2 linked regions of the Canis lupus familiaris genome follow. The protein of the gene in region 1 purifies or fractionates together with the protein of each later gene. This does not show direct contact. Links are inferred from orthologs where the notes say so. Each region holds a gene or a part of one and is shown in the gene's direction. Other genes may lie near its edges. The genes, in order: BTK and ANKRD54.

Region 1 (3,816 bases):
TAGCTTTGCATGATTCTGTTCCATTTGAAACTAGGTGGTCAGGTTGAGAGGGAACCAGGAGGGATAAGGAATAATGTGCTGGGTCCTCAAGAACTTTCATTATCAACAGCACACAAGTGAGCTCCAGAAAGAAGAAGCTATGGCTGCAGTGATACTGGAGAGCATCTTTCTGAAGCGATCTCAACAGAAAAAGAAAACATCACCTTTAAACTTCAAGAAGCGCCTCTTTCTCTTAACTATGCACAAACTTTCCTACTATGAGTATGACTTTGAACGTGGGGTAAGTTTTTCTGCTGTGAAACCTGAATATCAAGGACTTAGCCTTAGATCTTCCTTGAGGACTAGATATTTTTGGTTGGAGGAGGGAGGTGGTAGGGATCGAGGTATATTTCAAACTCAGAAAAATGTTTCTTAGCCTAGAACTAACTACAGCCATGTTGGCACAAAAAATTCAAAGGTGCTAAGAAGCCATGGGGGCAATCTTACCATGGAATCTTGCAACTGATCATTCATTAAGTGCTGTTGAGAATGAAATCCACGTCTTGAAAATTATTCTTCATTTTTTATGGTAAAGGCACACACAGTCATCCACTCTTCTATAGTATTTGCCCTCTGATAGTCAAAAAAGTTTAGATTAATAGATCTGGAAGTTTTGTTGTATTTTTTTTTTCAAAATGACAGGTTCTGATGAATAGAACGTGGGTGTCACCTCACTATGTTGAATGATTAGATAACAAAATCTAATCATCTGGTTGCTTAATCATTCCTAATCTTTCTCCATTTTGTTCCTCATTCTCTTTCTCAGAGAAGAGGCAGTAAGAAGGGTTCAATAGATGTTGAGAAGATCACCTGCGTTGAAACAGTGGTTCCTGAAAAAAATCCTCCCCCTGAAAGACAGATTCCAGTAAGTAGAGACCATTGTCAGAGCAGGAATGGGGTGGTTAAGAAACTTGGAACACTTCAACTCTCTATAAATAAACTGGTGATGCAATGTGGTAGAGTTCCCTTACAAAATTATTCACTCTGGAACATATGGGTTATACTGAATCTCAGCATTTTCCCCCCAGATGCAGAACTCACTTAACCTTGGAAAATTCTAACACCAATTTTACGATGATTTTTTTAAAGGAATCTCTACAACCCATGTGGGGCTCAACCTCACAACACTGAGATGAAGAGTTGCATGCTCCACTAACTGAGCCCCCCAAGAGCCCCAATATATGAAATTTTCAAACTCATCAGAGATGATTGGTTTTATTCTCTGAGATACCAGGATCAGATTTATGGGCTTGAGTTAGTCTGAAAGCCAGAATTCTAGGTCTCTGAGTCATGAGATTCTTTAACAACTCACTGTTTATTCTCCTTTGATTTCCCAGAGCCTTTCCAAGGCATAATGGCTATAGATTTCTAAGTCGAGTTTTTAAAAAATGTCATTTATTATTTTTCCTAATTACAAGAGTAATGTGTAATTATTTTAGAAACTCTAGAAAATACAACAAAGCACAATAAGGAAAATAAAATCTTGCATGATCCCATTATCCAGCTAAAATAACTATTGTATGTTGGTGTACAGACTTACAGATGTTTTTCTCCACTAGCAACACATACATTCATACTAAGAGTATATTATATATTTATTTTTGTAAAGTTTATTTACTCAAGGGGCACCTGGGTGGCTCAGTTGGTTAAGCATCTAACTCTTGGTTTCAGCTCCGCTCATGATCTCGTGGATCCTGAGATCCAGCCCTGTGTATGGCTTCCCTTGCAGCAGGGAGTTGGCTTGAAGAATCTCTCCCTCTACCCCTCCTCCCACTCGCATTCTCTTTCTCTCTGAAATAAATAAATCTTTTTAAAAAGTTTATTAAAGTAATCTCTCTCTACACCCAATTTAGGGCTCAAACTCAGGACTCTCAGATCGAGTCACATGTTCTTTAGACTGAGTGTGCCAGACATCCCTATGGTATATATTTAAAACATAGAATCATACTACACATCTTGCTTTGTAATCTACTTTCTCAATTTAACGATATATGGAAACTTTCCCCATGACAATAGATACTCTTTAATAACGTGATTTTAATAACGTGATTTATATTGCAATTTGTTTAACCAATCTCCTATTACTACACATCTGTTTCCAACTTGATATTATAAACATGTTGAGAATATCCTTGCATACATCTTTATGTACTTTTCCTATTCTTTTTCTTATAATAACTTCCTAGAAGTAAAATATTATTCTTCTCTTTACTAGATCTGCACAATTTGGTTATGTTTATCTTTTTATTCTATTTTATTTTATAGGAGTATAATTTAAATTTCATACACTCCTATAAGCTATGTATGAGAGTATCTCTATTTCTCTACATTCTTTCCAATATCAGATATTTTAAATGCTTGTTAATTTGACAGCCAAGAAAAGTGGTATTTCATTGCTGACTTATTTTTCAATTTTTTGTTGCCCATGAGGTTGAACGTTTATATGTCTTACAGTTCTATTTTTCTATTTGTGAACTGCCTGTTCATTTTTTTGCCCATCTTTCCATTAGAATGTTTACCCTATTTCTAGTACTTTTTAAGAGATCTTGATATATTAAAAGTACTAATCCTTTAACTGTAATATATGTTGAAAATATTTTTCCCAGTTTTTATCTTTGAATTTTATTTATGATGTTTTTTACTTGTTCATTGTTACCATTCTGGGTTTTAAAATTTATGTCATCAAATTAATTCATCTTTTCTTAATGATTCTAACCTTTAGCATTATATTGGGAAGTCTTGTCTCCCATAAGATTATATACACGGTCAGTTTTTTTTCTCTGTCCGTTCATAGTTCCATTTTTATATTAAACTTTTGAATCCATTCAGAATTTACTTTGGCTTATGCTGTGAAATAGCCACCTAACTGCCCCACATACACACACACACACACCAAAACTAGTGGTTAAATATTTGTCCCAGCACCATTGATTGAGTAACCTCCCTTTCCTCAATGGTTTGAAATGGCTGAGGTTTTTTTTTAACATGTATGTTCTGAATCCTATGTATGTATCCTATGATATGTATGCCTACTGGATTAAAGGAAACAATCCACAATAATTAATATTATCTGTGCAGGAAAATCTTCTGGAGCGATTGCAAAGGACTCCTAGTACCTAAGGAAATCCAAAAAAGAACAATGCATCAACCAATAACTATGCTTTAAGTTTTTATTTTAATTCTAGTTTTTTAACATGCAGTATTATATTAGTTTCAGGTGTACAATATAGTAATTCAACAGTTCCATACATCACCTGTGGTCATCAAAAGTGTGCTCCTTAATTTCCATCACCTATTTAACCCAACACCCCCCCACACACACACACACACACACACGCATCCCCTCTGGTAACATTCAGATTGTTCCCCATACTTAAAAACCTGTTTCTTGCTTTGACTTTCTCATTTTTTTCCTTTGCTTGTTTGTTTTGTTTCTTAAATTCCACATATGAGTGAAATCACATGGCATTTGTCTTTCTCTGTCTTATTTCATTTAGCATCATACTCTAGCTCCATCCATGTCATTGCAAATGGCAAGATTTCATTCTTTTTAATGAGTGAATAACATTCCATTGTGTATGTGTGTATATATATATATATATAAAACATATCTTTTTTAAATTTTTTAAAATTTTTATTTATTTGTGATAGTCACACAGAGAGAGAGAGAGAGAGGCAGAGACACAGGCAGAGGGAGAAGCAGGCTCCATGCACCGGGAGCCCGACATGGGATTCGATCCCGGGTCCCCAGGATCGCGCCCTGGGCCAAACCGCTGC
Region 2 (4,538 bases), on another chromosome or scaffold:
TAGTAGGCGGAAGACAACGGCTGACTGCTAGAATAACGGGTTTGCACTTTAACCTGGGTAGGCAGATCCTACAGACACAAAAAGAATTGTACCTTAGCCAGCATATGCACCTTGAATTCTACAAAGAGAGGCTGGAGGGATGAAGACAACTTTGGAGGTTATTACACGGAATGAATAATAAAGTTATTTCCAGATACATTCAGCAGGAGTAAGGTATAAACACCCAGATGTCCCTTAAGCTTTCTGGAACTAGGTTCCCAGCAGGCTCTTCATTAAAGAAAACAGTATGGTGGAAAGAGAGGACTTTGAGGGGCTCAAATCCCAGTTCTTTCTAATCCTGTACATGGGTTCATATAACATCTCCAGACCTCAATTTCCTGATGAGCAAAGTGGGTATAATAACATCTACCTGCTAAGGTTCTTGTGAGGGAGAAATCATATAAAATACATCAAGCAGTTGGTAAGCGATGCGTGTTCGGTGTTCATTTCTTTCCTCGGTTTCCTTGTAACCACAAGGGGAGTAGGCATACGTGGGGCAGAGATCAAATAAAACAGCGCTTTTCTCCACACAGTATCACGAGAAACCTCACGGTGGTGTTCCGAGAGCACCGCAAATTCTGAAGGTGTTTTTCAACTGTCAGGGGAAAGATTACATTTTTAGTGGGTTGAGGGAGAAGGAAGAACTTTCGCCTGGACCCAGGCCGTGGTCCGGGGCGCGCGGCATCCGCACGCAAGTCGCTGGTGTCCGGCGTCCGCTCCTCCCGCTCCTCGTCCAGCGTATGGACGTCCTGCTGGGCGGCCGGGTGGTGAGAGGGGTCGCGGGGCCGGTCCGCCGCGCGGAGCCCCTGCGTGTCCCGTGGGCTGTGCGCATCACCGCGGGCGGCGCGGGCGGCGGGGCTGAGCCTGCGCCCTGGACACACGGTTCCTGGCTCGGTGACCGGCTCGCCGACTGCGGCGTCGCTGTGGGGCAGTCACGTTGAATTAAAATTCTTCGTAAGTCAGTGACTGGAACCCTCACCAAAGGGATCGTTCCGCTTCAGAAGCTATTACTCCCCCCTTTGCGGAAGAGCCCCAAACGTTGACACATTCTTACTTTCTTACACTACGCACTTCCACCGGGAAGACCCCCCTCTTTCGTTCGCGATTTAAAATGTAGCCCTGTTTATCCCTGGAGGGCGGCTTCTTCGCTTTCCTCAGTGATTGGCTGCAGCTCCCCTGAGGTGATTGGTTAAAGCATCTGCCCGTTATCTTTCGGGAAGTTGGTGAGAGTTTAAAAAAAAAAAAAAAGAGAGAGAGAGAGAGAGAGAGAGAAAAAAAGTGTCCTAAACTCAGCTGTTTTATTGGCTCCGGTGGCGACGTACGGTGAGGGCGTGGGCGGTTAATATTTGCGATTGGTTGTTCTGTCCGTCAATTACGCCGCCGGAAACCAATTCTCTCGCCCGAACCACGCCCGATTGGCTGTTGGCGGCGGGAGCCCGCCCCCTCCCGGTTGCCGTGGTTGCGGGCCCGGCCCGCCCGCTCGCCCGCTGACAGCGAGGCTTAGGGCGGAGGAAGCGGGTCGGTTGGTCGGCCCGGAACGAGGCTCCCGCGGCCAGGCCCGCGCAGAGCCGTTGCCATGGCAGCCGCCGACGGGGGCGCGGACGACGAGCCGCGCTCGGGCCGCTCGAGCTCGGACGGCGAGTGCGCCGTGGCGCCGGAGCCGCTGACGGGCCGCGAGGGCCTCTTCTCCTTCGCAGACTTCGGGTCGGCGCTGGGCGGCGGCGCGGGCCTCTCGGGCCGGGCGTCCGGCGGGGCGCAGTCCCCGCTGCGCTACCTCCACGTCCTGTGGCAGCAGGACGCGGAGCCCCGCGACGAGCTGCGCCGTAAGATCCCCGCCGGGCGGCTGAGGCGCGCCAGGCCCCACCGGCGGCTCGGGCCCACGGGCAAGGAGGTGCACGGTGAGCAGCGCGGCGGGACCGCGGCGGGACCCCGGGGGCCCCGACTGCCGCGGCCGCTCGCGACCGGGTCCGCGGACGGCTGAGCTCCGGGCCCGCGCCGACCGCGAGCACCGAGGACCGCGAACCTGGAGGGGACGGCCTTTAAGCGCTCGGGGATTCCTGAACAGAAACTTTTCAGGACTCCAGGCGTTTCTTAGTAGATTAAAAAAAGAAGGGCGGGGGGGGGGGTGTTGGGGCGAACGCTTTTAGCGTCAAAGAGGGGGGGAGGCCGGAGCCTGTGGCCAAGCTCCGGCAACTCCTTTAACTGCACGGACTGGGATTGGACTCCTCTACCTCGAAGCCTTAGGCAAACTATAGAAACTTCCAGCCTTAGTTTTTCCGTGTGTAAACCACTACAATACTTGCTTTACGGGGATGTTGCCGGAGTTAAGTCAGGGGGTGAATCAGTACAGGTTATCCTGCTTTGGTGGTGTGCCAAACACTGTTGGGCCGGCATGTGTTCATTTCCAGTCCTCACAGTAACTCAGTGAGATCCAGATACTGTTCCCATTATATGGAAGAGGAAACTGAGGCTCGGAGAGATTGCCTTGCTCCAACCCCCGGTAGCTAGAAAGTGGCTGTGCTGGCATCAACCCACATGGGCCAGGTCAAACTCCTGCTCGTGTGTGGGCTCTATTGTCTTTTACATTTGGGGATGACGCGGAAACCAATGCCTTGAAAGATTTAAGAATGGAAATGTTAGTGTCCCTTCTAGGACTATCTGTGATTCCACCCTTATCTAAGTCATGCTGTTAAGATTAAATGAAAATTTGAACGTGCTGTGTAAAGCATAAAGGGCTATACAGAAGTAAGGAATCATTAAATGTATCTGCTTGCAATTTTGACCATCCCTCCGATGACAAAGGCATTGTTCTCTAATACAGAGGTAGCGTCCTTATAGGAGAAAAGCGTTTCTGCTTCGGAATTACCAAATTTAACTCAGTTATTTGGGAATGGCCTCTTTTGGAGAATATAATTGCAACAACTTGGGGCTGTCAGGATAGGGCTCAACCTTTTTTTTTTTTTTTTTTTTTTTTTCCCAGATGATAAACCTGAGGCCCAGGAGGTTTAACTAACTTGCTCAAGGTCACCCAGCTACTTTAAGTGCCAGAGCCAAGATCTGGCTCCAAAGACCTTGAAGGATTTGCTACAGAAAGTGGCTTTTTGCACTGTGTAGCTGTGATACATTTCAAGTTTTTCTTGTTCCCAGGGTAGCGTCTCTTGTATCCTGGTGCCTTTCCTTCCCTTTAGATGTTCTTGTGGGTGAATGGTGGATCAACTAGGAAGCCATCCACTCTCTGCTTCATCATGACTGTTTTATTTATTTTTTTAGATTTTATTTATTTATTCATGAGAGACACACAGAGAGAGAGGCAGGGACACAGGCAGAGGGAGAAGCAGGCTCCCTGCGGGGAGCCCCATATGGGACTCCATCCCAGGACCTGGGGATCACGTCCTGAGCTGAAAGAAGACACTCAACCACTGAGCCACCCAGGTGCTCCTGTTTTATTTTGTTTTTAACTGGAGCTCTCTTGCTCTCTTCACAGCTCTGAAGAGGCTGAGGGACTCAGCCAATGCCAATGACGTGGAAACAGGTGAGTGTGCAAAGCAGGTCTGGCCCCACCGGCTGGTTAGGAAAAGAAAAGAAAAATCCAGGCAACCAATTCCTGGGAAGACAGTGCTTGAATTCAGTATGCCAGCTCACACCCTGGACTAGGCTCACTATATATATCATGTAACTGTATTCATCTTACAAGAGATAAGTCTGGCTTATTTTTTTTTAAGATTTATTTATTTATTCATGAGAGACACAGAGAGAGAGGCAGAGACATAGGCAGAGGGAGAAGCAGGCTCCTTGCAGGGAGCCCAATGTGGGACTTGATCCCTGATCCTGGGATCAGGCTCTGAGCCAAAGGCAGGCGCTAAACCACTGAGCCACCCAGGTGTCCCATTAGTCTTGCTCAGATGCTCACTCTTCCCATGCTTCCCTGTCACTCTGAACTTCCTGATGTCATAGTGTTTTTCAGTCTGTGGGCTCCCTGATGTGGGGACCATGTCTGCTTTTGTATCTCTGGCACCGAGCAGCAGGGTAGGAGCTTTTTAGAAGTTTTGGTTAATGGGAACGAACAGTCAACTTTAACTGCCAGAAGAGCCACCACCCGAACAGAACCACCACCTTCAATGCTCACTGAGGCTTTGCAGTAGTTGGGTCAATGGTTCTCAAACTTGTTTAGTTGACGGAACACCCAAATGGAATGAGAGGGGCTCCTAGCAGGACACCACCCTGGTTTTTTTTTGTGTGCATGGTTGCTCTCCAGTGTCCATTGGCTGATGGGAGTAGCAGCATCAGAGGTACAAGGACAAGTCCTAGGGGAAAGCTTCTCATCATATCCATATATTAGTTTTCTATGTCTGCTGCAACAAATTACCACAAACATGCTGGTTTAAAACAACCCAAATTTCTTTTTGAAGAATTTGTATTATTTTTTTAATAGCACAGATTTCTTTTTTTTTTAATTTAAAAAAAAATTTTTTTTAAATTTATGATAGAGAGAGAGAGAG

The links.
Region 2: the proteins of BTK (region 1) and ANKRD54 purify together in Homo sapiens (affinity purification with mass spectrometry; 4 studies listed by BioGRID and IntAct, counting the BioPlex papers as one, with this or other methods). This does not show direct contact. The link is inferred for Canis lupus familiaris from reciprocal best matches to the Homo sapiens genes BTK and ANKRD54.

Annotation. Positions count from the first base shown.
Region 1 is NC_049260.1:75,697,117-75,700,932, reverse strand, and holds part of BTK (tyrosine-protein kinase BTK), read left to right. Parts: intron 1-109; coding exon 110-280; intron 281-805; coding exon 806-904; intron 905-3,768; exon of another isoform or gene 3,769-3,816. UniProt on the Homo sapiens protein: Non-receptor tyrosine kinase indispensable for B lymphocyte development, differentiation and signaling. Binding of antigen to the B-cell antigen receptor (BCR) triggers signaling that ultimately leads to B-cell activation.
Region 2 is NC_049231.1:27,793,286-27,797,823, forward strand, and holds the start of ANKRD54 (ankyrin repeat domain-containing protein 54), read left to right. Parts: upstream 1-1,562; 5' UTR 1,563-1,615; coding exon 1,616-1,937; intron 1,938-3,523; coding exon 3,524-3,571; intron 3,572-4,538. UniProt on the Homo sapiens protein: Plays an important role in regulating intracellular signaling events associated with erythroid terminal differentiation.